Linked DNA regions of Tamandua tetradactyla. The protein of the gene in region 3 interacts with the protein of the main gene of each other region in a pairwise test. Links are inferred from orthologs where the notes say so. Each region holds a gene or a part of one and is shown on either strand. Other genes may lie near its edges. The genes, in order: L3MBTL2, NKAPD1, BEND7 and LYAR.

Region 1 (7,831 bases), about 15 Mb from region 3:
GGAATGCCTGGATAGGAGGTGGTGGTGGGAAAGGCCTGCTACTCAGGAAACAAACCAGGACTTGCAGGATGAGGAGGAGCCAGCGGGGAGAAGAGGGTTGGGAGGATGAATCAGATAGAGATACGGGATTTAGGGAGTAAGACTGAGAACAGCTCCAGCTAGCCTGAGACTGTGATGTGAAACATTTGAAGGTTGTAAGCAGGGGAGTTCATTGATTTGATGTATGTTTTAGTGTGGAGAATGGATTGGAGGAGGATCAAAAGAAGTAGCCGGACCTGTTAGAAGCTCTCGTGCATTCCAGGTGAAGGATGGTGGTAGCTTGGTCTAGGGCAGAGACAGAGAGGGCATGCAGAAAAGCAGAAGAATGTTAAAAAATATTTTGGAGGTACCCCGCTGCCCTCCAAAGGGTGCCGGTTGTCAACCTGCACCCCTGCCAGGTGCAGCAAGAGCCGATCAGCCCTGAGGTGGCCTCCACGCAGGACTAAAGGCTCTCAGCAATCCTCATCTTCCTGGCATCTCTGCAGTGCCTGGCGGCAGCCACAAAATAAAATACATGTCGTGAAAGAGGGAGGTGGGCTGGTGTCCCAGCCCCTCCTTCCTGGACCCTGGGGCTCCTGCCCCGAAGTCTGGAGCCACTTGGAGGGAAGTGGGACCAGGTGGCTCTCCACGACTGTACACAGTAAACGCAGCCCCTCCCAGGGGCTGAGAACAGGGCATGCAGTAGGAGACGCCTCCACCCCACTTCTTGAATTTGGAAGAATGAGCCCTTCCAGAGTGATGCTGGCGACGGGGCTGGGCACTGGCTCAGCCCCGTGGGTGTGTTTTGTTCCTTATTATTTTTAAACCCTTAGAGAGCAATATCAGGAGCGCTGTTAATACGTCTGCCACCAGCAGGAAGATCAAGTTTCTTTAGAAAACCTTGTACTAAGTCTGCCCCTCTGGAAAATTCACAGCGGATGTTAGCAGGGCAGGCCTTGTGGCAGGGAATCCGGCTCCACTTGGTTTAGTGCTTCCAGACTTTATTTAGAGCTATGTGGTGTGGATGTCTGTGCATGTTGCCCCTCCCCTCCCCCACCCCATACCAGTTAACTGAAGACAGCCAGTGTAGAGAATGTTCTGGAAATGATTAAAATAATAATAATATATCATTCCCGGGAACAGGGGGAGCTCCTTTTTGACTGGATTGTTTCCTACCCATCCTCCTACTCCCCCTCCCTGCCCACCCCAGCCCGCCATGCTGAATGCTCCCAGGCCTCTTTGCTGGCTGGACCCCTCCCCAAATCTGGGACAAGGGTAGAGTTGCCAGATTTCACAACACAACAAGGCAAAAAGAAAACAAAACAGGGTGCTGAATTGTTTGGAATGTCAGGTAATAATTTTTTAGTATAAGTATGTGCCAGATATTTGCATAGGACATGCTTATACTAGAAAATTATTGTCTAATCTGAAGTTCAAATTTAACTCAGCATCCTGTAGCCTTACCTGAGGGAATCGAGTAGAAGCTTGGGTGGGAGCACCAGGGTTGCCTGACAGTTTCTGACAGGCTGAGCCCCTTCCTCCTGTCTCCATGTAGCTGATGGGGTGGGTGGTGGGTGGTGGCAGACAGAACTTAGTAAAACAAGGAGGATTCCCGCTGGCTGGTGAGGTAGCTGCTCTAACCTCCCAGTTTTTGCCAGATCCCGACTCTAAGAGACACTTAGTTCCCGGTTCAGGTGCCCTCTTGGTGCTCCAATTTCCAGCAGCTCACTCCCAAGGTGGGGAGGAATTGGAAGGGGCTTGGCAACCCCACCCAGCTGCCCTTGAAACCCATCCAGACAGTGGTCAGTTCCAGATTCTTAACTGTATTTTTTTCATGATATTGTTAAAACAGAGAGAAAACATTTAAAAAGCCCTTTAGCAAAAAAAAAAAAAAATATATAGGAGGTAATAATTAAATGTATGTAGTGGGTTTGGAAGTGGGGGTGGGGCAGAATATGTGAGGATTGAGGCCTGGACAACCGGGTGGATGGCAGCACCATATTCTGTAACGGTGAAAACTGGACAGGGATGGATGACTTTGGGTAGTTGAATGGAATGAACTAAGAGTTCCACTTACTTTGAGATGCTTGTGAGACAGTGAAGAAGAGGACATGAAGGCAGTTGGAGTTAGGTGGAAAGCACAGAACTGGTGATCTAAATCCTGCAACTTCTGGCATCCTCTCTTAAGATGAAATTAGAGTCCCTAAATCCATCTTCTCTGTGATTTATTATTTTTCACATCTCAATGTACATATCACCAACAGTATAAGAAAATAGAAACCTGAACTTTCCAGTTTCACAGCATTTCAGCAGGAGTCGGAAACACCAGACTACGGGGGAGGGAAAAAGGGCAGAGAGGGAGCCCTGGTGACAGTAACAGCTAGCATGAATGGAAATGGCCGTTAATTAGGAATTCAGTTGAAACAGCCTATTAAACACAGGTTGCTAAGCAACACTGGCCACCCCGGAACAGTGTGGCTGTTCCTTCTGTGGCAGAGCTCCTGGGCCTGGGTCTCTTTCTGTAGCATAGGTAGCATTTTGGCTAGTCTGAGCCATCTTTCTATACATGGACCTCATGTGAGTCATTGTCCCTCTCTCTCTCTAGGATCATAAATCTCTTGCTCTCTACTGGATCATTTCCCAAAACGACACAAATGTGCTCTAGTCACCCATACTACACAAATACATCTCTTGGATTCACTGCCTTTGTCCCCTGCCATATGCCATTTCTCCACTCCACCACTGCCCAACCTTTTGAAGGTTTGTCTACACATGCAATTTCTATTTCTTCTCTTGGCTTTCCATCTGTCCCTACACTCCACCAAAATTGCTTTTGTCAAGTTCACTTACTGCCTCTCTGACCTGAAATTCAATGACCACTTCCCTCTTTTGCATTTCACACAACTACCTACTTTATCCTTTCCGAAACACTGGCTTTTCTTGAGTCCCTCTTGGCTTTCCTCCTGTCTCTCTCCTTTGCAGGCCCTCACTGTTCAAAGTCATCAGCAAATCCATTTAATTCTCCAAAATCTACCCCAAATATTTCCACTTTTTTCTATCTCCACTGCCACAACTTAAATCCAGTCCACATCTTCTCTCCTCTGGATAGCACGGAAGCCTCCTAGCTGCTCTCGCCTATTATCCGAGCCCATTAATTCTCTACACAAGTCTTTAAAAAAAAAAGATTGCACCTATGATTTGCAGATGGGTGCTCGCTTCCACATTATCCGCTTCTGTGTGGTCTTCCAACAATTATTACAGTCTTTGGGGAGTGGTGTGACCCAAGTTGAGGCCAGATATTTAGAAAGGGCCAGGGTAAGAGTTCTTCATTGAAATATTTACTGCACGGCCACTGCTGCTGGACGCTGTGGCTACAAAAGTGAACAGGAGGACCCCACGGTTCCAGCCTTCACGGAGCTTCCGTTCCCAAACCATCCTCAGAGAGAAAGACCAACGCTTCCAAGCCCCGACCGCGGGCTAGGCTGGGCACTAACCGCCTTGGCGCCCGGCCCGCCTCCCGTGCACCGGTGACTCGACACAGGAGTCAGGTCGCCTCATCTGCACAACGGGGCTGCCAACCGGCTCTCCGCCGCCCCGCGCGTCTGGGATGCCTCTCGCCCCTCCCCCACACCCGCCCAACTCCCGGCCTGGGCAAGGGGGCGGTGCCGGCGGTCACGTGGCCCGGCGGGCGCGCTCGGATTCCGAGCGCCAACCGCCGGCGGCCCCGCCCCGCCCCCGTGCCCGCCTTCGGCGCGAGGCTGCTCGGCGCCCTCAGCCTGGGAGGCTGCAGCCGGCTGCCCATGCGCTCCCGGCCGGACCGGGGAGGAATGAGGCGCGGGCTCGCCGGGACTGCTGGACAGCCGGGGTCCAGTTTGGGGCGGTCAGTGATGGCAGTATACGGGAGGCGCTGGGGGGCGTAGGGGCCGCCCCGAGATTCTGGAGAACCACTGGAGTGGGGGCTGTCAGGGTTAGGACTCCCGCCGTGGGGTTGCCCCCCAGAGAGGGGGGAGGGGCGGCGAGCCCCTCCTTTGTCTTAGTTATACTGAGGTAAGGGGGCTGTGCTTGGCCAGAGCAATTCGCACTGTGCCTGACACAGAGCGAGCCCTCGAAAACTGCTGGTCTTGATTGCAACCACAGTGCGGTGAGAAAAGAGAAGAGGGAGTGACAACGGGGGCTGACAGGAGGTAACTGCCATTATTAAGCACCTCAGCTGGCCAGGTGCGGGCACCTCCCCTTCCTTCCCCAGGTGGCTAGGCGAGGCACCCGGGACAAGCATCTGCCCTGGGAGTGTGTAATTAAGAGGCAGAGCTGGGGTACGAACTTGGGACCTTTCACTCCTGACCCACTGCCCTAGGCTAAGGAAAAGGAATGCTTGGACCACGCTTTGAAAATTGGGTAGGGTTTTGATGGGTGGAGACCACTGAGTGAGCTGTGCCCTAATTAGCTGTAAAACCTCGGGAAGATCTTTAGAGCCATGCTTGGCTCTGTAAAAATGGCTGGACCTAGGAAAACTGATAACTAATATGTAAGTAGTGCTTTGCAATTTTTAAAGCACTTTCAATCACGTCATATGTAATTCTCACAACTCGCCCAGTAAGCGTTTTTATTAGCCCCATTTTACAGATGAAGAAATTGTCTTAGAGAAGTTTAGATAAGGGAGTAATGACAGAGATTTCCTATTGATTAAGTCAAATGGGTTTCCCCATACCAAGTTACCATGGATGAGAATACAGTTCTCTCTCCCAAACTCTTAACATGTTGTGCTTTCATTATCTGAGCACGAACCTACTAAATTTAAGACATTACTGTTGTTGGAGTTTCTTGCCCCTTCCCAACCACCAACTACCATATCCCAGCGACCAAGGTGGTGGTGAACAGCAGTTTTAATTTATTTTATTGGGCTGGTTTGGGCTGCCCCAAGTATGAAGAGCACTTGAGGCAAAGTGAAAACTGGAAAGTAATTGGGTGGGTTTGACTGAATTCTGAAAAGTTCAACCAGGTTGAATAATTCTCTAGCCAATTATTTTGAGGGCATTTGGTGATAATTGATCATTTTCTGTCCTTCCTGTTGACAGGTGTACCTCCTAGCAAATTATTGGAAGGAACATGAGAAATGTAAGTAGGGATTTTGAAGTAGCAGTTAAGAGAACCAAAATTGTTTACTTATAGAATAATGGCAGTTAATTTGGTGATATCATTTACCTATCAAACGGCAGGTACTTATCAAATGCCCACTTTTGAGGAGTGTATTTGTTAATGTGTGCAGAGAGGTTCTCCACAGGTGACAGTTGCCATCAGCGCTGACAAAGGTGCTATTTTTTTGGTTAACCTTTCCCAGAGGTCTGTGATATGTGCCAGGTGCCCGGCTAAGTGTTTTCACTTATTCTGTAACCTCATTTATCCTCACAACTATCTTAAAAGCCCTGAGCCGTTCTTACACTTTTTAGAAGGTAGGAAACAAGTCTCTAAGCATGAAGTAAACCAGTTCTGAAGGGGCAGACAAAAACTTAGCTTTTCACAGTGTGATCCGGGTTCAGGGTCAACAAATATTTAATGAACTTCACCTTGTACCAGGCACGTTTGAATATTTTATTTAATCCTCACAACAAACCCCCCCTCCCAATGCCTTTTGCTCATTTGAGCTGATCACCTCGAAATCAGCTAACAGGCATTTTTTTTTTTTTAACTAGCACATTCCTCATATGGAGCAAGTAGAGCCTCCGTCCCTGAATATAATGTTGTGCTGTGAGAAAAACAGCAATTCCTTTAATAAAATCCTGACATCTCAAAAACAGCAGTACAAAACAAAAATGTGGACCTTAGGCAGCAGATTGAGTTTCAAGGGCATTTTCTTCTGATGATTACAATTAAATCTGAAAACACCACTGGTTTCCCATGACAGACGCCCACAACTCTGATTCACTAGACTAATCACTCATCTGAAACTTGGATCAATTAGGTGTAACTTTTAAAAAATCTGGGGGAAGTCCAGCAGGGTTAGTGGGAAACTGGTTTGTAGATTTGTTATAAAAGTCCTCAGATGCTTTTTTCACTTTTTTTTTTTTCATGGGCAGGCACTGACAATTGAACTCGGGTCTCTGGCATGGCAGGTGAGAACTCTGCCTGCTGAGCCAATGTGGCCCGCCCCCTCAGATGCTTTTATATCCTGAATCAGGAAATGGTGACAGAGGTAGCCTTCCCTCTTAACCCCCTCCAACCAATCTCCGCAACTCAAAGTGATATTTTTTTTAACGATGATTTTTTTGGGGGTGGTGGGGGTGGTGGTGTTTAAAACCATTTAGTGGAAAAGGCAAATTTATAGAGACAAAAAGCAGATGAGTGGTTGCCTGGAGCTGGAGGTGCAAACATTGAATGCAGATAGGCATGAGGGAACTTTTTCAGATGATGGAAATCTAAATCTGGATGTGGTGTTGCTTATACAACTCTAAATTTACTAAAAATCACAAATTGTGCACATAAATCAGATACATTTTATGCTATATAAATTCACTTCAATAAAACTGTTTAACAAACAAAACCCTTCTTGGCTCCCCATCGCTTACCCTTTAGATGCTCAGAGGCTGTCTACCCCTCTAGCCTCTCCTGATGTGCCCAGTGTGTAGCTTGAATTGGAGTGATTGGGAGCTGGCTGCAGGTGCTCTGATAAAGGCTCTGTCATCTCAGTGCCTTTGCACATGCTGTCCCTCTGCCTAGGCTCTCCTTCCTGTTGTCTGCTAGGGGACACTTACTCTCTTTCTTCAAGATTCAGCTGGAGCATCTGCTCTACCAGTAAGCTTTCCCTGACTTTTCCAAATAAAGCCAAGTGACAATGCTGTTATTTTTAATGTACATATCTGGTACCCTCACCAAACTGAGCCCTCTAATCCTGATTTTTTCCTCTAGACCTCAGCAGGTCTCATGCCTAGAATGTTTGTTGAATAACTACATGTGCTGTCAGTATCCCCTTTCCATAGTACTTTTTTATGGGGAGTGCCCCTTCCTTCCTCCCTCCTTACCTTCCATTTGTTCCAGAGTGCTGAGGATTACTGTGGATACAAAAAATGAAAAATGCAAGACACTAATCCTCAAGGAACTCCCTATCTAGCGCAGGAGATAAGTAGTGTCAAGAAGGTGATTGATTATATGTCCTCACCTTCCTCTCTCCTAACCATCATCTCTGACAGGGTACTTATTCTTATGTAGGTTGGGGATGGTAGTGAAACCTACCTGATAGATGTCCTGTAAGAGTTAGATGGGTTGTAACAGAAAGAAATGTGTGCTGGCACTGCAGTGCACCTGGGTGTTAGGGCAAAGGTTCAGGAGATGCCTGGAGAAGCCACCACCTGAGCTGAGTTGTGAAGAATGAGTAGAAATTAATTTAACCTTCTTCAGTTTACCCCGATGGATAAGTGATGATTTGAATACATTGCCAAAGATTGTCACCCTTGTTGTTGATTAGGAGAAATACAAGGGCAGACATGCTTAAATTAGCTGCGCACTCAGACACAAAGATGAAGGAATATTACTTGTTGGTGATACTAATTTCTGTGGTTTGCCCCAGCCTCAATTTCCTACGAAATACTGCGTAAAGAATGGTTGCAAACCAGAGGTTCTTGGGCTGAATTCAGATTGCCTGAGTATTTTTTTGGGCCTATGCAGAATTTATAAAGTTTTTTTTTTTTCACTATAAAAGTTGCTGTTTATTTTCAATTTTTTTTGCTTGTCTCCTCTTAGCCCTTTAGGAGTCCACAGATGCACACCAGCCTGCAAACCCCACTCTGAGCACCACTGTGTTAGACCCTGTCCCATCCTG
Region 2 (7,081 bases), on a different chromosome or scaffold from region 3:
GATACACTAAGGTCACAGAGAGAGATTGAATCAATACCAGGTAGTTCAACTTTCAACTCAATTTTCAGAGGCTTTTCATTCTGATCCTTCACAATTTTTAATTCATAGGTTGGAATCTTCATCTCTTTCTGGATCTCAGTGCTGGAAATCTCCTGTATCAGACACCCTGTTTTGTCTGAAACTTGGTCCTTTGTCAGTAAAAGTTGAGGAAAGTGATCTGGATTGCTCATAGTACTATTACCTATCTGTTCAAGACCTATTTCTTTGTGGGGAAAAAAAAAAAGAGAAAATCACAAAATTAGTCAATAGCATAAGCAATATCAGACTGTGGTATATGTAAGGTTAGCCAAGATAGCAGATAAAGATGAAGCTAAATTAGTTTTGGATCTTAAGCCAAAAAAAATCTTAAACCAAGAAGTTTGTTTAAAAGTTTGCAGGAAGATCCAAAATATTTTAGGATATTCTGATATTTCAAATATCTAAATCTTTATATTTTTCTATCTTGAGTTTCTTATCCTTTAAAATCAAGACTCTTCTTACTTGCAAAGGTACACAGGATGCAAAAATATCTTAAACAGTTTACTTTTGCATTTACATTCAACTTACCCTTCCTCATTTTCTGTCTTAAATCTGGAAAGTCAGTTTGTATTCCCATCAGATTTTGTTTCATCCTTTGAATGCTTCCTTTTATTCTAAACTTAGTAATATGGTAGATGTGGGAGAGAGTGATTTGGAGTCGTTCCTCAATGCATTTCATAGCCATTTGTATCAGCTGGTCCCTTTTCTTCTGGTCCTTTTCTGCTGCCTGGAGAACATCAGGATTGTAGGCAACATCGATGACTGTGAAAACATCTGTGTGTTTAATTTGGAGGGTGTGAAATGAAGACAACTTGACCTGTTTTCATTAATGATATTATCAGGTAATATATTAAATCATAATCTTGATAAAACTAGAAAGTAAATTCCATTCCTGTATTTTTTCAAAGGCAATCACAATGGTTCTATATACATTATATTCCAATTAGGGCATCTCTTGGCATTTTTACATGGGTTAAAAACTTGTCATATTGCTAGAAAAACTTAACAAAAAGGCATTCAATTTGCATAAAGGTATACTAATATGTCATAAACTACATTATCACCAAATAAAATATTTTAACTTGAAGTGTCTTTTATCAAAATCTGGCCCATTGTTTTGCCAAAAAGATTTTTCAAATGTGCTTCCTCTCCCATAATTCTGCCTACCTGATGTCTCAGACATATCTTCTGGCCTGCCGATACTTAAAGGTACTGGATGAGTGTTTGATTGGGGAGCTGGAATTCTTTTCCACTGGCATAGGTTGATAAAAAGTATTTTTTCTCTTGGTTTCTAGAAAGCAAATAATTTTGCATATTTCAAAATGTAGTTTGTTATTTTAAAATAATATCCTAAAGGCAGCTCATCACAGAATTGTAAGAGGTAGAATTTTAGTCTCCAGGTTAGTCATTTCACATGTTAATTGCTTTGTTTGTTTATAAATAACAAACACACAAATGTTCTTGACGTGGTTACAATCAGTGGCTCACAATATCATCACATAGTTATGTATTCATCACCATGATCATCTTTTTTTTTTTTAAACATGGGCAGACACCGGGAATTGAACCTGGGTCCTCTGGCATGGCAATGATCATCTTTTTGAACATCTGCATCTCTCCAACAAGAGAAAAAAGAAAAAAGTCATGCATGCCATACCCCTTACCCCTCCCTCTCATTGACTGCTAGTATTTCAATCTACTCAATTTATTTTAACTTTTGTTCCCCTATTATTTATTTCTTATCCATATTTTTTGCTCATCTGTCCATACTGTAGATAAAATGAGTATCAGACACAAGATGTTAAAACTGTTTTTTTTTAATTAAAAAAAATTTTTTTAAACATAACATACAAACACAAACATTCCCATTTTTGGTATATAATCAATAACTCACAATATCACATAGTTGTATATTCATCACCATGATTTCTTAGAACATTTGCATCAATTCAGAAAAAGAAATAAAAAACTCATACATACCTCTTACTCCTCCCTCTCATTGAGTGCTAGTACTTCCATCTACCCAATATATTTTAGCCTTTGTTTCCCCTATTTTTTTCTATACTCCTTACCATTCCCTTTCATTGATCACTAGTATTTCAATCTACTCAATTTAACATTTGTTCCCCCTATTATTTATTTTTAATCCACATGGTTAAAGTTTTTTGATAAATTACACTCTTGCTTTCTTGATTTCCCAAAAGCTGCTGTCTTTTCACTAAGAATCCAGTAACTGAACCCAGAAAGGAACTCGGGTGGAGATGTGGTGAGGGAGGAGGGAATTGATCTAATCTAATAATTGTAGATTATTTCACTTGACCCTATCACATCACTTCTTAACTGCACCAACTAAACAGTTATCTTTATTTGAAAAAGCTCCAATTCCATGATTCTCCTTTAAATTATTACATTACTTTCTCTTTTCATTCTAGACCTCATTTGACATCTCCAAAATATAACAAGTATGAATACCACTCTTACTTCTCAACACAATCTTCCACACTACTTTTCATTTTCTAGAATGGCAGTTTCTCTTCAATTTTCTTGTGTTTATGTGGCAATAGCTAAGGGTATGCTATCCTCTGGTTATTCCAGAATCATTTTGTTCAGCACTTTCCCAGCCATGACACCAACTCTACACACCAGGATCTTCGTCTGTAGACACAGCTGTGGTTCTGGGGCAGCACAGAACTGTTTCCCCTCTTTCAGCTGCCATTTAATGAACTTGTCATAGCGCTCAGGGTCACTTTCAGCCAGATCATCTAGAAGGTTCCAGAATTGAGTAATTTGGGTAAACAGACCCTTTGAGGATGCGTCCATGATTAATGATGGTGAACAGGTCTCTTAAACCTGTGGAAAGACACGAGTTAAGGGGGAAAAAATCTGCGTGGGTAAGTCATTTCTACTTTGGGGGGAGGGAGGACAGGTATCAGCTACCTTAACATCTGTGTCTCAAAGATTGTGGCTTAGCGCTGCTATCTTTTCCTTATTTCCTATTCAGCACCCCTTCCTAATTCTCAAGTCATCAAAGATAAGGCCTTACCCCTATTTGGAATCTCACAAGCCTAGAGATGGGAGAGGAGACACTTTCAGTTTGGGTTTCTGGCTCTCTTCCTGTTCCAACACCTGTGTATCCTTAATTGCCGGCTCCCCAGTCCTGGAGTTGGCAGAGGTGCGTGTGGGGTGAGGTCCATTGGAAACTTCGGTATAGCTTAGTAGATAAAAGCATGGAATCTGGAGCCAGAAGGTTAAGCTTCTAATCTTAGCTCTATCACTAGATGGATGACCTTGAGCAGTTACACACACACACACATTATATATATATATATTATATATATAATATATATTATATATATAATATATATATTATATATATAATATATATTATATATATAATATATATATATAATATATATATAATATATATTATATATATATTAATATATATATATATTATTATATAAAATATATATATATATTTTGTTAATAATATATATTAGGTGATTCTCAAAATGAAGACGATAATAAAATGCCTATCTCAAGGAGTTACTTGCAGGATTGAGTAAACTAATATATATATATAGATTTACACTTGGTAAACGCTAAATGAAAGTAAAAATACCCTTTCTAGATCTTGGAATATCACGTCCCCCACTCCTACCCTATTTCCTTCCCTCCGCGTCCACTGGAGAGGAGTCCCATACCACCGACTGAGGCTTCGAATACTGTATGAGATAAGGCTAAATAGGAAACTTAACTTTGGGCAATCATTCCAGAGGCCGGTGAATCCACTTCCCTCGGATCCTTGACACACAGCGCGGCGCCTGTTACCAGGGTAACCAGGCTGGGCGCAACGCTTAATTGGGTCCGGGAAGCACCAGTCAGAAAGTTCTCCTTACTTCCAGTTCCGGAATCTCACTCTTCCGGTCGTGGGTTCACTTTTCTGCCGGGTCTGACCCACTTCTCTTCCAGAAAAGCGCCAGCCTCCCACTTGCATCCATCGACCTCTGGAGTATCCTGTAAATTCTATCTGTGACACACTCTGTGCCAACCATTGGTGGGAAGAATTTCTCAGGAGCACGACTTCCGGCCTGAAAGGGAAGCCTCCTCCTTTTTCTCCCAGATCGCTTCCTCCCCCCACCCCCGCCACGCGAGGCTGCGGCGCACGGTATGGGTGTGTTTGTGTGTATTTGTGTGGGGAGGGCGTTTGGAGGGGAGGTTACCGGGAGCTCCGAGGCCGTTGGCCGCTGGGTGGCGGGGATACCGGTGATAAAGATGGGGGTATTTTCTCTGTCTTCCTCTTGGAGACCTCAACCTCCCCGTCAGGCCCTCTAGATACTTCCCGGGGCCCAGCCGAAAAGTCATACTTATCCAGAACGTCCCCGTCCTTATCTGGGGAGCAAAACTCAGTCCCCGGGTCCATCCCAGCGGAGCCTGAGCGGGGAAAGCCGACCGGGCCGTCCAGATTCCGCTCCAGCGCAAGCTCCGGCCTCGCTTCGGGAGAACTGCCTGTCGGTCTGGGCTGGGGGAAAGGCAGCCATGCCTGGGCCACGGGTGAGGGCATAATAACCGGTGGGAAGGCTGCGTTTTCACGAAGGACTCGGGTGAAGCTGCAGAGCTGCCTTTGAGCCCTGACTCCTTGGCTTCCTGGGTCGGAGGAGATCTTGTAATGGAGTGGTTCTTCGTCTCACACTAACAAGATGCCTGATTTCCTCAGGATCGAGGGGTGAGTGAGCTATGGGGTGGTTGCACAAAGCCCCTGCTAGCTAACACGTTAATATCTTTGTCCTCTAGAAGTTGGAAGCTTTTGCACAAAATAGGAAATAAAATTTCTCTGAAGGAAGAAATTTAGGGTATCTCTGCATCTGATGTTTCCAAGAGTCAGTTTTTATATTTGTTGACACTTGTAGTCACTGACACTTTTAAATTTAGATATTTGCTTCATTGCAAATTAATTTTGGGAATCAAGAATTTTCTAATTTGGATCTTTATATATACGTTGCTTGCCTGAGACTCTCTGGCCGACAAGTTAGGGCTTTCAGGAAAGTTGATCTGTAAAATAGGGATGAAGATAACTTGCCTCATATAAAACACATAGTTATTGTGAGGATGAATGAAATGGTGCTCATGTCATCTTGAGCAATTTCAAAGAACTTTAAGGAACACTATCTCCTTTCATCCTCACACTAGTGTTGTCAGGCATTTTTCCCTTTTATTTGTGAAGGAAAACTCTTCCTCAGGGCATCTGACTCATAGTTCAGTGATTTTACCTTACCTCATGCTTCTTTATTTAATTGTAATAAAAAATAAGGTAATAGAAATCGTTATTAAATGTTATTTATTGATTCATTTCAGATTGAAGAATGTCCCGGGTTCCTTTGGGGAAGGTCCTCCTGAGGAATGTCATCCGGCACACAGATGCTCACAATAAGGTGGGAGGGACAACCCAGCCATTCCTTAACACTTACTGAAGGCATACAATGTGCCAAGCAGTATTTTGGCACAATTGGGGAGTACAAAGATGAATTAGATAATTACAGTACATTTTGATATATACTATAATAGAGTCATATGCAAAGTGCTTTAGGGTACTGAGGAAGGAGTGATGAATAATGAAATCTGCTTTTAGGAATTAGAAAGGATTTCACAGAAGGGGTAGTTTTTGAGTTGTTGAAAAGTGAACTAGGTCTTGGTAAATGGGTACAAGTTTTACCAGGTAAAGGATCCTCCTGGACAGAGGGAACTATTATGTGCCCGAATGAAATTGAATGTGTCTAACCTGTAGAAAATTACAGAGATGAGGTCTGAGTGGTCAGTTAGATTTTGAAGAATCAGATTTTGAAGAAACTTCTGTGTGATGCTTGGGAAATTTTAGGTGTTTTCCTCTAGGCAATAAAGAAGCATCAGATGTTTTAAGCAGGGCATGACATAATCATATTTGTATTTTTGAAAGGTGATTTGTCAGCTGGGTAGGGATAGATCAGATGGGTAGAAACAGTAGTGAGACAAATTAGGAGTCAGTTGCAGTTCCAGGTGAGAGATGATGAGGGCTCAAAAGAAAGCTGTGACAGTGGGTTGAAGAAGAGGAATTTAGGAAATAAAATCCAAAGAACCTGGTGACTGATTGGATAATAGTAAAAAGAATGGCCAGCTTGTGTATCTAGGTGGATAATGATGCTATTTTTTGTTTGTTTGTTTGCTGTATGGTGAGGGTCACATTTCATTTTTTTTCCACACAAATATCCCATTATTACAGCACCATTTATTGAATTTTTCTGAGGGGGGGTGAGGAGTGCACTGCCCGGGAAATGAACCTGGGTTTCCCACATGGCAGGCAAAAATTCTACCTCTAAACTACCCTTGTAACCCCACTATTTTTTTAATGCAATTTTTTGAGATATATTATATATTCACATGCCATATAATCGTCCAAAGTGTACAATCAGTGGCTCACCGTTTCGTCGTACAGCTGTACCTTCATTACAGTGGATTTTTGGACATTTTCATTACTCCAAAAAAAGTAAAAATAAGAATAAAAATAAAAGTAAAAAAGAACGCCCAAGGCATCCCATCTCCCCAATCCCTTATTATTTATTTATGTTTTGTCTCTATTTTCTTACTCATTGATGATGCTATTGATTAAGATAGGGAACAGAAGAAAAGGGACAGGTATGAAGTGGGTAGTTAGTTTGACTTTGAACATGTTGATTGTGAGGTGCTTATAGAAGATCCAAAAATAGTTGGAAATTCAGATTTGGCAGAAAGGAGAAAACTTGGAGCTGAACATAAAGGATAGGAAATTATTGATGTAGGTAAATGTTAGAAGTCATGAGAGTAGATAAGGTCACCTACGGAAAGCTTGTATACTGAAAAGAGAACCAAGGATCCTTGTTTGATTTCAGTGAATTGTATTACTCTTGGTTTGATCATAAATGTTATTACTATTATATTACCTGATAATTTGAGTAGTGTGAGGATATAACTGTTACCCAAGCAGCATCTC
Region 3 (7,766 bases):
ACAGGTAAGATCCCAAAACCTACACCTAGAAAGAGTGGAAACATTTCTGGCCACCTACCTATTCATCATGCAGCTACACTTGTTCAAAGGACTCAGATGCTGATTTTGCTCTGCTTTTTCCCTGAGGTGAACTGGGAATGAGGAAGGTAGGAAAAAGCATGTCTGTTTTCTCAGTCCAAAAAGTTGATGTGAAATGAACACAAAGCCAGAAGAATGAGGTAGAGCTACTTGGTGATACCTAGGACCATCAAGAGGTGGTTAAGCCGGCAATCACACTTTTATTTTCCCTATGCTCTCTGACTGTAGATTTAATTTAATTTTGTCATGGCAGGATTAGCAAGCAGGCCACAGAGGTGAAGGGACATTATAATAAGACAGAACATTAATCCTCTAACCCACCCAAGGCAGAAGCAAAACCAAACAAATAGCAGCTTCCTGGAAATTGAATTTCTGTTATCCAGATGTCAAAGATGTAATACCCCAATTACACAAACTATTGCCAGTGAAGCATGCCAGCGAATATGCAATGTAAATGGGGTGAGCGCAGAGCCATGAAACTGCACACTCAGCATCTGGCTCTGAGAGTGAGTGATAATTAGCACTGTGTGTAGACACTAATAAACATTTATGTCTGAAATTACAACTTTTAGCAATGTTAATAAGGGATATATTGGCAATCTGTAAAATAAAAGGTCTTGAAAAGAATGTCATACATTCAGCAATAGCAGACATTTCCCGTTCCAGCACAATCTTTTTTTCCCCCTCTAATTGCAAATGGCCACACTGCTTTGCTGTGAAATTAACTGACATGAAAACCTACCTAAAAAAATGGGTTGTGTCTCTTTGGCCTCCCCATTAACATCGCTGCTGAATTCTGAGATCTTATACACCTCATGGTGATAATCTGGGATGAGAAAACAACCAAAAATTAGAATTCTAATGACTTGCAAGATATTAAATAAGCACTAAAGGCTAGACTCTCATCATATCTAGACTATCATAATCTCTGTTTTAATTTATATAATTTTCAAGAACTAGTTAACCACGGAAGTTGACAAAAGTCAATAACAATCTCTAAAAAACTTTGCCTATTCTGATGAAAGTACACAAAGTTGAAACATTACTTTTAGAAAACAGCTTTGCTTGATCACTGTTTACACAGTAAAATTTGCCCACAAATGTTAATTACTAGACTTCTTTTCTTTCGTTTGAGAAATATGTTTATAAAGAAAAGAAAAATCTTGCCCATTCATTGGCCCAGGAGGTTTCCAAACTTATCTCCACAACCCATCTTTTAGGTGTAGCAACAGTATTGCTTCAGGGTTGCCTGACACTGTTTTCTCAGTTTATCTGAAAAATCGCAGTCTTTAAGCAGCTTAAAGGCAAGTACACGTGACAAGTACGGATTTGTTATTTCAAATCTAGCATAATTTGGATAAGAAAGCAAGATTTTCATCTTTCACACAAGTGAATCTTTCCCATTCAGCTTCTGCACTTTAATATGTTTATTTTCTAAAAATGTACCTGCAGAGCAAAGAATCAGGCCCATAAGTTAAAAAAAGAAAGAAAAGAAAAACTAGCTCTGTCAAACTTCAAAATACATATTTTACAAGCCTCTCTGCAGAGGCTCCTGAGCTTTGGCAGTCTTCTATTTCTAAAAAATAGGGTCATTTAGCTATGAGAATATAGGTGCCGCCTTAACAGCTATTTCCTTTTTTTTTTTTGGCCTTAATCCTCCCAGGCCAATTTCTACAGAACTACTGTCACCTTTAAGATAAGGCAATATCTGAGGTCACAAATAAAGCAGCCCACATGCCTGAATGAATCAGATCACTCCAAGAGGCTAGTGGTGTATGGAGAGACTTTTAAAGTTCAAGTCACTGAGTATTCCACACTGCTGGGGGAAAAAAATTACACAGAAAGAGGAAAGAGCCAAATATTTTCAATAGGTAAAACCATGTTAGGCCTTTTCATTATGCAGTATCGGAACAAAATTGAGGGAAAACAAACATGAGTAGATCTTTGAAATGTCTATCATCAAACCATTTCTAAACAAAGTGAAAGCAGGCTTCGTGGAATCTCTACTACTGTTAGCTTAGTTTGAGAAACTCTATGACTTGCAACAGTCCTCTAATTTTCCCCCCTTCCGAGGTTGCTAACACAGGTTTGGTTTGCTCTGTACTCGGATGCCATTGCTAGATAAGACACCAGAGGGAAAGTAGACACGTCTGAGGCTTTGTTTTGACCTCAAGCTGATGCAAAGAAGACACTGAAATAGGATGGTTCTGAACATACTGGAACCTGTGGACACTACAATGAAAAAAGTCAACTGCGTCTCGCCGAAGAAGAGACGAGGCATTTCCACGGATATATTTTTAAGCCTGTTCTTACGCTTCGTCCTCATCATTTTTTTAAAAAGTCCCATCAAGAAAATAAACACTCTAACAAGTAGGTGAACAGACAGAGACAAGGCTCTATTCCACTTCGCCCTCCTCTAATAAAAGAGCTCAAGCCCAAAGGCTGCGGTGTACACCTGTTAAGTCGCCAGGGACTAGATGGATCTTATTTATTTATTTTATTATTATTTTTTTTACGATACTTGTCTGACCGGTAAGTGATCTGTTCGAGAACACCTTTCCAATCCAAGTCACAGAGCTGGGAAAGATGTAGGATGGCCACAATTCGTAGTCGGGCTGTGCTGCTTCCGCTGCCTCCAGTACCTTTCCCGTCGCCTCCGGGAGGACGACCGCACCCCGAGGGCACCGCGGGGTCCCCGGCCCAGGCTTTGTCTGCCCCCGGCGCTGCCCTCGGGCCTGTTTACGGTTCGCATACCTGCACCCCACCCGCCAACTTTGCCCGCGGCCCCCGCCCCCAGCCGCAGCCCGGGAGGGAGTTTGGGGGTCCGCGGGGTGAGGCCTCCGAGGGAGCCCGGGGCCCAGGGTTGTCCGCGTCGCCCCGGGTCCCCAGATCCCGGACCCCGGTCCGGACCCTCCCGAAACGCTTCACCCCAGCCGGGTCCCGACCCCGGCGCGGCCCCCTCACCTCGGCTCCCCAGTTTGAAGCTCTGCGATTTCCTGCTTCTCCTCCTCTCGGAGAACTCCATGGTGCCGGCGGGCGGCGCGGGTCCGCGGGGAGAGGAAAGGCGCGCGGCCGGCCCGAGCGGCGTCGGCCCTCGTCGCGGCGGGAGGCAGCTGCCTGGGGAGAGGCGCCGTCCTCCTCCTCGCCGCCCCCGGCTCCCGAGCACGCCCGGCCCCGTCCAATTTCTCCTTTTTCAAAGCGGATCCGAAGCGGAACTTTCCGCGGCGGCCGCGCTGGGGCGGGCGGAGGGCGCCGGCGGCTCAGGGCGCTCGCTGGGCGCAGCCTCCGGACTGACGCGGCGGCGGCGGCGGCGGCGGCCGGGGGAGGGAGGGGAGGCGGCCCCGGGGACGCGGCGGCCGGGGAGGCGGCGCTGAGGGGACGCGGCGGGCGGCCGAGCGGCGGGCCGAGGGGAGGAGGGCGGCGGCGGGTGCGGGCCCCGGGAGGAGGGGCGCGGCGGGAGGCGGTGCCGCGGTCCCCGGGGCCACCTGCTGGCGGCCGCCCTCTCGACCGCCGGGCCCGGGCCCGCACCCGCCGGCCTGGCCGCCGAGGCGGAGGCGGAGGCCGCGGCGCTCCCCGGGGACGGCGGCCTGTGCGGACCGCCCCTGAACGCGGGCCCCGGGCCTGGGTCAGCTCTGCAGTCCACCGCCCCCGGGCCGGCCTGGTGGTCACGACGCCCCCAGGGCCGAGAACCCTTCTGGAATGGAGCGGGCCCCGCACACGTTGCTGGGCAAGTTTTAGGAAAAACTTCCCAATGTGCGCTGTGCAAGAAAACTAAAAGAGCGTTTGGAACGTATTGAGGAGAAGCGGATAGGCGGGAGTGGGCTCCGATTCTGTATCCGGTACAAGAAGGGGTGTGGAAGCCACGGGGCTGGATGCGGGGAGGGAACTTGCCCTGCCGGCCGTAGAGGGAGGAGGAGGTGAGGAAGGGTCAGGGCAGGTGCAGGAGATCTGCCACTAGGTTTGAGGACCTCCAGGCGATTGGCGTAAATAGAAACCTTTCATTAATTTTATATGAACTTCTCTTGGGAGCTAAGAGCCCCTGCAGGCTCCATTTCTTTCTCACAACATCTTTAGAGAGGGAATGAGAGAGAATTTCACACCCCCGGCAATGCTATCCGAACATGCTCACAAGTAACTCTCCCCCCCCACCAAAGACCACTTCTGGATGAAAATATAAAGGAAGTAAAGAGGTAGGCCACCTAACAACAAATTTGAATTTGTGGCAAATTCCCGTGGCCCTAAAGGGACAGGGTATGTTGATAAATGTGGTAAGTTCCATGATGAATCCCACCAAAATGAGACCACTGCTCAAGGACCTCTCTTATTAACCACTGGGTTAATAAGAGACAACTGCCAAGGAAAGGAAAAGTTGGAGGCTAGCACAAACATACAAGCACCAAGAAACAAAACCGAGGATCAAGGTAACCAACCAATAAACCAGTGGAAGGAGGCTGGGGCCCAAATCATGAGGTATTAGTTGGTGCGGAGGCTGGTGTACCTGGCCTGGAAGAGAGGGAATAGGCTGTCAGTTGCCAAAGCAAACCCTTAAATGAGGTTCTTAGCCTTTTTGATCACTGTCTGTGGAGTTGATATTCAAAGCTGTGGGCCCTTTCCCCAGAACATGTATAGAAGACCAAGGAAATTTTGTGTAGGTTTTTTTGAGTTTAGACCCCTGGGAGCCCTAAAAGGTGGAGAAAGGATTAAAGTGATGAAATCAACTATCCTTTTTGGTTCTCTCCCATTTGTTTTCTCTTGCTTTAAAACCAAGTAATGAAAATCTGACTGTGTTTTGAATGTTTCTTTAAGGGAAAATGCATACTGTTCTGTTCCCCTGGCTGGGATCCTTTCTTTCCTTTCTGCCATGCCTTTAAAAATGTTATCCTCAAAGAATGCATGGAAGTGATGGTAACTAATTAGTGGAATTATAAGTAACATTGCCATATTGAAGGTGAATATGAGTGAAAGGGATGTATAGTGCCGTGCATCCCACTGATGAACTCTACAATTATAAATAAGTTCTCAGATGAACTATTTCAAAGGTTTGATATTGTACAGAGTCAATAATAGAGGGATATGGGGGAAAACTAAAATTGCATGCTATGGCCAATAGTTAACAGGAAGACATCAGCTGTACCACAGCACTACCAGGGGCAACTAATTAGAGGGAGGAAAGGATAAGCGATAACGGGTAGTTTTGATTTGATATTTGGTTGAGGCTGTGTTTGTCAGTTATCTCTATGGACCAAAGAAAACTCTAAAATTGAGAGTGCTGTTGATTGTATAACCAAGTCAGGATACCGTAAGATGTGGTTTGCTTATTTTGGACATTATCCATGATGCCTAATAGATGGAGGAAGCCAAAGGGTACGATGACTGAGAAGCAGAATGGCAAACTGATACATACATGTGATGGAATATGATGCGGCTACAAAAAAGGAATGATGTCGTAAGGCATGCAATGAACTGAATAAACCTTGGGGACAATGTGTTGTGCAAAATAAGCCAGAAACAAAAGAACAAATATGCTATGGTCTCTTTCAGAAAATACTTATAAGAAATTTGGAGCCTAGATTGTAAGACCTTATAGGAACCACACCTAGTCTGAAATTGTGAGTGTATTTCTAGATTCTGAGACATTGAGCCATATGAAACTGATATTTCCCTGGAACTTTGAGTAACTCTGTGAAACGTAAGACTCAGAAATGGAGTTCTGCAGCCCTGAATGTTAGCACAGCTACATACAATAACAGTTAAAGTAAGCAAAAAAGAGATCAACCTTCCATTAGAGATAAAGACAAAGGCTTATAGCCAGGACTAAGGTGAATCAGAATACAGGGTAATAGATGATAGTGTATATACTCTAGACCTTTACCTGCTATGTAAGACCAAAGGCAGAGAGGTTTATTGTGTCTTTTTTTTTTTTTTTCTTTTTTTCTTTACATGGGCAGGCACCAGGAATCGAACCCGGGTCCTCGGGCTTGGCAGGCAAGCATTCTTACCTGCTGAACCACCATGGCCCACCTGTTTATTGTGTCTTGAATCTTAATCTTGAGAGCACCTAAGGCTCGGACTGGGGCTCAATAAAAGTTTCATGAACTAAGTTTCCTTTCCTGTTACCTATAATTTCCCGGGGGTTCCTGGGCCAGATCAGTCCTGAGGCCCAGAGGGACCAGCCTTTCTAAGATTATCAACCAGTTACATTCCCCTATCCTTTAGTGTGGACACCCCTTCTCAACGTGGGAAAGTCGGAACGGGCATTGTCCAAGGATCCCTGTAGATTAGGAGGGAGGTGGGGGAGAGAGAGGAGTTATAACAGAGGGAATAGGATTTGGTAAATGAGTATGACTGCTAAATCATTGTTTTGATGTTTCTTTTGGCCTCCATTATTTTGGAGCAGTTAAAGGGAAAGACTTGAAATAGTGGAATGGTAACCTATGAAATCTAATTTAACAAGTGACTACTTGTAATAGTGTACTTTGAAAATTATTGCTTTTTCTTTCTTTCCTTTGTATAGATGTTATATTTCACAATACAAACTGTAAAAAAAAAAGTTATCCTCAAAGCCACAGGGCCAAGTACTATACTGATTGAGGAACAGTGAGGACTTTCATGCTTTTGAACATAAAATGAGAGTTTATTAGCCTAAATCCATGATGAAATCATTGAAGGTGTCATACCAGGAAACAAATCCCTGGAGAAGATATTAACAACTTAACATATTCAGTTCAAGTGGGAAGATGAATTCCATGTAATGAACAGACTAGTTTGGATAAAGGTAATAAAATATTTGTAAAAAATGATATTTTGAAACAATAGTCATTTTCCCTGGACCCTTTTATCTGGTTCTCCAAAGATGGTCTGCAGAGCCCAGTCGTTCAGGGATTGTCCTATTTACAGAGAGAAAATCAACAGCGATTTATTTACTCTCTACTTTGTGCAAATCACACAAACATCACTTTATATAACATCAATGTATATATACACAAATTGTATGAAGTAAAGATGAATTATGATATTTAATAAATATGAGATTGCATGAAGTGGTAGGTAAGGTTTTTTTTTAATACAGCTTTTGTGTTATGGGCTATCTCGGAAGGTCCTGTCGGAGATCCACTTAGGTCATTTTTTTGCCTCAATAATCCAAAGCCCTCAAAAGTTTTAGAATCACAGGTCTATACATTACTCAAGCTCAGTGAAAACTGTTCAGATATTCCATGAGTTCATGAAGGCAGAGCATCTTATTATATGACCATTCTAAAACTTAATCAATTACAAATAGATTAAAGATTAAACGCAGGTTTTAATTTTTGACAAAGACAAGTAATTTGGCTAGAAAACTAAGTAGTCTGGACCCTAAATCTTAAAACTCTCTTTCTGGAAGCTCTGTACTGAAAGAAATGGTATTATGAAAATTTCCATCTTTATTTACCACTCTGCTGTTCAAAAGAAATGCACGGTAAGTCATATATGTAATTTAAAGTTTTCTACTAGTGATAATAGAAAAAGGAAAAATAATTCATTTTAATGAATTTTATTTAACCTAGTACACAGAAGTTATTATAGTTTTGATATGTAGTTAATATAAAAATATTAGCAATACTTTCTATTCTTGAGTTTTTTTGTACAAGGTTTTGAAAGCGGTATATATCTTACACTTGGAGGACAAATCAGTTCAGACTAGCTACATT
Region 4 (7,620 bases), on a different chromosome or scaffold from region 3:
CAGTGCCTAAAAAAAAAAATCATTCAAATCCACAAGACTAAATAAATGTGAAGATACTTAAATAATTAAACTTATAAATGCTGCTTCGGGGAAACCTGTAGCATTTATACCTTTGAAGTCAAAACTGTCTTATGACTTTTGAGACACGCTGTATTGTATTCCCAGTCTCGGTCATTACATATCTCAACTTTTAGTGCTAATTGTAGAAAGACAGTTTTTCCAATGGGGCTGGACTCAAATGAGAGTCCCATCCCTTTCCCTTCCAGCTCCCCAACTCGTTGTCATACGTGCCAATCCTAATAAAGCCACAGAAATTCTGTGTACCCTCCCTTTCAGAAATGTGCACATATTAAGAGAGAATGACAGGCAGAGAACATTCTTGAACCAGCTGGCAGCCCATGTGGTTTTCATCCCTATAACTTAATTCAGCAATCATTTACTATGTGCTCAGTGTGCATCAGGTGCTATGCTTGGGTACCAGGCATCCAGATACACCCAAATGCCCCCACTCAGATTAGACCAGGTCCTCTGTACACCCTTCTGGATGACTATTCATTAGACTATTTGATTTCCTGAGCTCCCACAACTGAGAAGGAAATGAGGTGGGGCTGAAAAGAGATGTGCTCAGAGTGTTTCACATTTACAACCACAATTACACCCACCACATCCAAGACAGGTATGATCACACAACTACCACCAGTGAGAGAAAACCAAGGCTCAGAAAGTTTCGTTACCTGAAGTCAGAGAAAGTAGCAGAGGTGGCCTGTAATGCCAGGATACAACCCCAAGCCCCTGCTTCTTCATTTTTTTTTTCTTTTTTATTAGAGAAGTTATAAGTTCACAGAACTACTGCATAAAATAGTTTCCATATAGCGCCCTATTGTTAACACCTAGCATTCGTGTGATACATGTTACAATTCATGAAAATGCCTTTCTATAACTGTACTATTAACTATAGTCCATCACTTACAAAACGGCTCACTATGTTGCAACTGCCTGTCCATAATGACTTGTCATATCCTTGGCCATGTGCTTGGCTGTCACTCGGCTTGGGAACCTTCAGTTGCTCATCCAAAAAAAATCAAGGGCTCTAGAAGATGACCCTCCACTAAAAATTTTGAGGACCCTAAATCTTAATTCTAAAGACAACCACCCTGGGAAAGGAGGCCGACCATCCGTGTCACAGCTAAGGATGTAGGGTATTGGATAGCGATGCTGAACTAGTTGAGGGGCAGCAGCTAGCAAGAGGCTGGGAACTCAGGAAGGACTGTAGGCACTTTTATCCCCTCTCACCAAGATGGAGGCCACATTTGGGGCCAGGGAATCTGAGCTGGAGCCTGCATCTGCCAATTAAAACCCCAATGACCTTCAGCAACCTTAACTTCCCCAAATCTGATTCTTTTATCTGTAAAATGGGTCTAATATCTATTTTAGAGCACTATGTGGAGAGTTAAGTAAAATATCAGATGTGAAAGCTTCATCCTTATCCAACAATAGAAATGTTTCTCTGTGATTTATTTATCAATTTGCACATCAACACTATTGTACCCAGTCACCTCCCAAACCCATGCTCCTTTAAATAGGACCCTCAATCAACCTATCCAACTTTAAAAATTCACTCCAGAGGCAGTCTTATTCCTGTCTCCTCTGGCTCCTGACTCCACAGGCACCTACCAGACTGTTCCCTGTGAATATGACATTGGTTTGGTTCTGGTGATTGGGATTCACATTGATTTTTTTTTTTTTAATTTTTCTCCTTCCTCATTTTTGTATTGCTTAATTTTTTAATGAAAATAATTTTTAAAAAACATTATTTTTAAAACAGTCACACACACACAGACCCAAACTAGATCAGCACCCCTAAACAGGACACTTGGTCCTGTCAGCCAAGCAGTTCCCAGTCACCATCAACTCTGATCTTGAGTTCTCCCATCAGTGAGAAAAGGGCTCAAATCAATTACGCCAGCCCCAAGCCTCTTCCAAGGGTAAAATTCCACGACACCTAGAGCATGTGACTCATGGGAAGGTCAGACAAGTACACACTGTTACCACCCTGCCTAAACCCTAGCGTGTGCAGGTGAGGTCGGTCACAACGTGCACTCACACAGGACTTCCCCCTTGAACCATGCAAAGGACATTTATCTCCACATAACAGACGGGCAAACTGAGAAACAAAGTAATTAAGCCATGTGTCTCCACCTCCAAGTTCCAGCATCCTCCTCATTATATCACCTGCATTACTGGCATCCCGTCATCTCATATTATGTTATTACATGTTACTGTCATGTTATTCATAACCGTCTGGGGAAGTCTGTCATGTGCCCGGCACTGTGCTATACAGGTGGGGAAGACAGGCTTGCAACGGCACACCCCATCTCATTCCTCAGGGGTAGGCGCCGCAGAAAAATGCCTGACTCTTATATGCCTGTCACCCTCACAGGTGGTTAACGTGTCTGTGCCCATTTAACCCTCACCACGGTCCAGTGCGTTAGGTTCTGTACCGTTCCCTTTTGGCACATGAGGAAGGTAAAGTAATTTGGTCACACACACACAAAATGAATCCGGTCCTAAGCTCGTGCTCTAACCACAATGCCTGAGGCCTCCTCCTTGGGGACCGAGCTCCCCGAGACTCCGAAGAGCACCGCCCCCAACATGCAGCAAGCCCGAAGCCCGCCTTAAGCGGGATCCAGCTGCCCTGGGATGCCCAGGACTGAGGGGGTTCCCGGGACGCAGGACTTTCAGTTTTAAAACGGGGACTGAATAGGTCGCCCTAGGTCCAGGTCTCCTTCCACTTTTCCCCAGTCCGAATAAGATGTGAATGAATTTCCTTCTCCTTCCCAGGGTGGAAGCCAAAAGAGGGAATGCAGCCATCAGCCACACCGCCCGACCCTTCTTCACTCACTGCTCCTCTACTTCCTCCGTCGGGCCTGTGTGTCACCGCCCCTCACCTCTCAGCAGCCACCCGCCAACGATTTCAACCGGCCACGGAGAACACGTGCAATCGCTGCCGCCCGCCGCGCGCAGCCGTCACCGCCCTCCAGGGCTTCCCCGCGCAGAAATCGCGCTGGAGCCGGCCCGCGCGCCTGCGCACCACGGCCAAAATCCCTGCGGAAGTGACGCTACCGGAAGTCGGAGGGCGGTTCCGGCAGGTCAAGGGGGCGTTGTCGGGTGGTTCTGCTGCCGGCCAAGCCGGCGTTAAGGTGGTGGTGTCGGCAGGTGGAGAGGCTGCGGCGGGTCAGGGAGCGGCCTCCGGGGTAAGGTGGTCATAGGGCCTGGAGGCCGGCCTCCTAGAGGGCGCGCGGTCGGGTGGGAGAGGGAACCGTCAAGGAGGGGAGGCCGGGCATCCGAGGGTGGCCCCTGAATCCCGGCGGGGCTCTGCCCTGCCCCCACCCCCTTCTCCCGGGGCACTGCGAGGGTGAGTGGAGAGCTGTCCGCCTCCTGCGTGAGTTCACGAGTGACTGCCCTGTGCCAGACGGAGGGAAAGTTGAAGGAGACGCAAAAGACAGAACCTAGTCCGGGGAACCGGGCCTTCTCCCTCGTGCAGCCCCCTTGGCCTGAAACCCCACACTAGGTCTTTACCCGGCCTCCTCCTGCTCATTCCTCCAGACCGCTCAGCCGTCGCCTGCAGGAAGCCCATCTGACCCGCTCCCGCCCTCCGGCTACCCATTTCTGGATCCCTGTTTCCTTCTCTTACTGTAGTTGGGAGTAGTGCTTACAACAACAGAGTTCATAGTGTTGCGCAGTCTCTCATTACTGTGCAGGCTCTCTGTGCTCTGTTTCAGATCTGTAGAAGGGGGAATACCGGTACCTTAGGGGTGTTCATAAACCCATGCACAGGAAGTTCTCAGCACATGCTTGACTCTTAGTAAGTGCTCAGTAAAGGATAGTTGACGTTCTCAGAGCTCAGGGCAGGATCTGGCATATCGTGGGTGGCTACTAAGTGACTATTGTATGAATGAATGTTGAATAGGGTAGTTGAGTGGAGGTGTGAGACAGCATCCTGAAAAACATTCACTTTAGGGTGAGGGCATACCGGGATCAGCAAGATTTCACTGTAGAAGTGAGAGGTGTTGGGCCTGGAATAGAAGGACTCACTGGGATTTACAAGGAGGGAAATAATTCCCAGCAGAAGTGGGAGAATGGCAGAGGTTGAAAAGCAGGTGCTTGAGGTGTGCTTTTGTGTTCAAGGCACATGTTTACCTTGTTCTTCCTCGTTGTTTTTGAAGTTGAACCCGGGTGCCGGACTGCCATAGGCGATGTTTACCTTGTTCTTGCTCCTACATTTTTTTCATTGGATCCCCCTGAAAACTCAAAACTCAAGTGTCACCACTTGAAAACAGATATTCCTGACCTTCCTGCTACCTTTGCCTCTTGCTTATAATATTCCTCTCTTCCCTCTTTGGCAAACTTTTTAACTTTCAGATTTCCACATAAAGCTCTCTTCCAGAAAGTTTTCCCTGGAGGAAACTGACTTCTACCCTCCCTCCCCCACGTTAATTTTTATTTCAGTGGTTCTACTTACTGCATTTCACATCTCACAGGCACTGCTGTACTTGTCTCTCATATTATCTGATCAGGTTAAATGTTTCAGTAGACAGTAAACCAAAGAAGCAAATCATGTAATTCCGCGTAGTGGTTGGGAGTGTGGGCCTTGGTGTCAGATTGCCTGGGCTCCACCTCAACTCGGCCCCTTATTAGCTGTATGACCCTGGGAAAGTTCCCTAGCCTTTCAGTACCTGGTCAGGTTGTGTGCAATTTAGAACAATTTTATCTCACAATTTTGTGGGTCAGGAATTCCGGCAGGGCTCAGCTGGGCAATTCTTGAGCTTTGTGAGGTGTGGACTGGTGTCACTCATGGTATTCAGCTGGAGACAGGGCTGGTCTAGAGGACTTAGGATGGCTTCACTCACATCCCTGGTGCCTTTAAAGGTACGACTGGAAGATTGGGCTTAACTAGGCTTAACTCCCAGAAGGAGCGTTCCAAGAGATGGGGAGTAGAAGCTGTTAGCTTTAAGCTTGGAACCAGAAATGAGCACAGTCTTACTTTTTCTGTGTTCTGTTGGTAAGAAAGTCAGAGCTTGCTCAGATTCAAGGGGAAATTCAACCACACCTCCTTGTGGGAAGAGTGTCAAAAAATTTGTGGCCGTCTTTAATCTGTCAAGTGTCTCACTGTCCTCATCTGTAAAATTAGAATAATAATAGTACCGGTCTTATAATTATTATAAGAATTTAATATAATAATCATAATATTTATAAAGTGTATTTAATATAATCATAATATTTATAAAATGTCATTTTATAAATATTTTATAAATACTTGTCATTATTTTATAAATTTTTAAATAAAATTTTTGTCATTATTTTATAAATATTTGTCATTATTATTACTGTTACTTGGTACAGGGTGCATTATTGTTTATGGTTTTTATTTACAGGATACATACAGATACAAAATTCTCTTTTCCAGAGTTTTTCTCATCTTTCTGGGGTGGTACAGGATTGCCATTATGAAACAATTAGAGAACTATACAAATTAGTATAGAATGGTTATAATTTATAGTAAAAGTAAATTTTGGAACACAGAACTTGTGTCATCATAACTCTGAGAGCCATCCAAGGAATTTTTTTTCTTTATCACTTCTATAGAACAAGAAAATGTCTAATACAGATCCAGAATATTTACTGTATTTTATCATTTAAGTCTATGGACAAAGGTCATTTAAAAACTTTTTTCCTGTGGGAGGGAGCATAACATGGACTCGAGAATTAAAGAGCCAGAATTCATATCCTGGCTCTGTCACTTACCAGTTATATTATCATGAGCAAGTTCTTATATGATCATGAGCAAGTTATCAAACTCCCCGTTTCTCAATTTCCTCATCTATAAAATGGTGATTATCAGGTTCTTGCAGAATTTTTTGTAAACAGATATAATATTGTTTAGCAGAGTGCCTGGCCTATTAAAAGTAGTCAGTAAATGACAACTACTAATAATAACAGTTAACCAAAAAGCCTTTTCTTTTCAGGCAACCAATGTGATAGGGGAAGGGAACTGGTTACTTAATCATTTGGTTGTTCAGTTCCTTTGAGGATTCTATGCTTAGCCCATTACCCCACCACCTAATAATGTGTTCCCCTGTATATATTCTTGTTTGGGCAACATTATCTTCTCCAGGTATAGAATTAAGGAATGAGATGGTGGGGTGAGTTTTGGAGATTCTAACCTGAGGGGATCATACAGTTGAAGGTGTTTAGTAGAGAGTCAGAGATTTGGAAGTGGTGGTCAAAGGTAAAATTTCAAATTTAGGCATTGTCTAAATTCCTTCTGTGAACATTTATTACCTGTTCTGTGCCAGCAAAGACAGATGAGATGGTACCCTCAAAGAGTTCACAGGTTTTGGAAATGTAAGTAACTGAACACTATAATAAGTTCTCTTACTGAAGTAGTTTGGGGTGTTGTTAGAGTACAGGGGAGGGTCCCCAGTCAGACCTGGGAATGGAGAGTGGAGAAGAGGGAGCATATCAAGAACATCGAGAAACTAGACAGCTGCTCAGCTGAGTATTGATGTGGAGTGAGCATTATTTGGAAGGTGGAAGGGTCAGATCTGAATAAATTATTTCCAGCATAGAAAGCATCAGAAGTGAAGGCTTTTGGAAGAGAGCAAGGCAGAGGTCAGCAGTCCACCTGCTTCAGAATGACCTGGCTGCTTATAATGCAGATATCCAGGCTCCAGTGTACAGTGGCTGAACAAAACTGTAATGGCATGCAAGAAACTACTTTTTAACAAATTTCCCAGGTGATTCTTTCAGCTAACCTTTACTGAATACTTGTATGCCAGATGCTGTTCTAGAGGATGACATGGGTTAGCACAATTACCTCCATTAACCTGTGAGATAGGATGAGGAAGTCTTTTGCCCAAAGTCATATGGCTAATGAGTGGTGTAGCTAGGGTTTCAGCCCACTGGCCAAGAACATAGCCTTTTGGAAAGCCAAAGGTAGTTCATTTTGGCTGGTTTCAAAATGGAAGTAATAAAGAAAAGACTGGGAGAGAAGTATGAGCCATGTTAAAACGCTTGGAATTTGGCTTCATGGATTTTTTCAGTGATGCTTTTTCGGTAATGCTTAGGCACTCAGAGTGAAAGCAGAGAAAGCGGATGATGGCTTTTTAGGTTTTTAGGGTAGCAAACTGCCATTTTAACCTCCACAGAGAGGTTAAATGAGCCTGACTTCATTCCTCCCTGCCATTCTTCTGCCATAAATCATCCCTACTAGCCTAAGCTCCTGGGTTTCAGAGACCATGCCTTACTCACCTGTGTATTCCAGTGTCTAGCTGAAACGGTTTTGTTTAACTGTGTGTGTATATATATTTTTTTGTTCTCCTCATTAGAACTTAAAAAGCTTCATGAGGGTGGGGCCTTTGCATATTTTATTATTCTTGGAGCCCTAGAACTTGCCACACAGTAGGAAGTCATTAAACATGTTGAATGATGAGACTTTCTCTGCCCACATAATGGCTTTCTGTCCCATATGGGAGTCACAATCAGAATTCTTAAAATGCCTGCCAGGCTCCTCTGACCCCTCTGGAATGTCATCCCCTACTACTCATTTGGCTCTGGTGG

What was found.
Region 1: the proteins of BEND7 (region 3) and L3MBTL2 interact in binary tests that used the Homo sapiens proteins (3 or more experiments, as listed by UniProt). The two-hybrid records come from large-scale screens. The link is inferred for Tamandua tetradactyla from reciprocal best matches to the Homo sapiens genes BEND7 and L3MBTL2.
Region 2: the proteins of BEND7 (region 3) and NKAPD1 interact in binary tests that used the Homo sapiens proteins (3 or more experiments, as listed by UniProt). The two-hybrid records come from large-scale screens. The link is inferred for Tamandua tetradactyla from reciprocal best matches to the Homo sapiens genes BEND7 and NKAPD1.
Region 4: the proteins of BEND7 (region 3) and LYAR interact in binary tests that used the Homo sapiens proteins (3 or more experiments, as listed by UniProt). The two-hybrid records come from large-scale screens. The link is inferred for Tamandua tetradactyla from reciprocal best matches to the Homo sapiens genes BEND7 and LYAR.

The regions. Positions count from the first base shown.
Region 1 is NC_135333.1:34,375,041-34,382,871, reverse strand, and holds the start of L3MBTL2 (lethal(3)malignant brain tumor-like protein 2), read right to left. Parts: upstream 3,190-7,831; 5' UTR 2,132-3,189; coding exon 2,096-2,131; intron 1-2,095. UniProt on the Homo sapiens protein: Putative Polycomb group (PcG) protein. PcG proteins maintain the transcriptionally repressive state of genes, probably via a modification of chromatin, rendering it heritably changed in its expressibility.
Region 2 is NC_135334.1:29,178,895-29,185,975, reverse strand, and holds the start of NKAPD1 (uncharacterized protein NKAPD1), read left to right. Parts: upstream 1-3,981; 5' UTR 3,982-4,246; intron 4,247-4,252; exon of another isoform or gene 4,253-4,804; intron 4,805-5,433; 5' UTR 5,434-5,441; coding exon 5,442-5,510; intron 5,511-7,081. Other genes in the region: PIH1D2 (PIH1 domain-containing protein 2), read right to left, coding at 1-262, 607-852, 1,246-1,369, 2,722-2,898.
Region 3 is NC_135333.1:49,223,744-49,231,509, reverse strand, and holds the start of BEND7 (BEN domain-containing protein 7), read right to left. Parts: upstream 3,171-7,766; 5' UTR 3,104-3,170; coding exon 3,043-3,103; intron 905-3,042; coding exon 821-904; intron 1-820.
Region 4 is NC_135345.1:8,748,989-8,756,608, reverse strand, and holds the start of LYAR (cell growth-regulating nucleolar protein), read right to left. Parts: upstream 3,080-7,620; 5' UTR 2,903-3,079; intron 2,897-2,902; exon of another isoform or gene 971-2,896; intron 1-970. UniProt on the Homo sapiens protein: Plays a role in the maintenance of the appropriate processing of 47S/45S pre-rRNA to 32S/30S pre-rRNAs and their subsequent processing to produce 18S and 28S rRNAs. Also acts at the level of transcription regulation.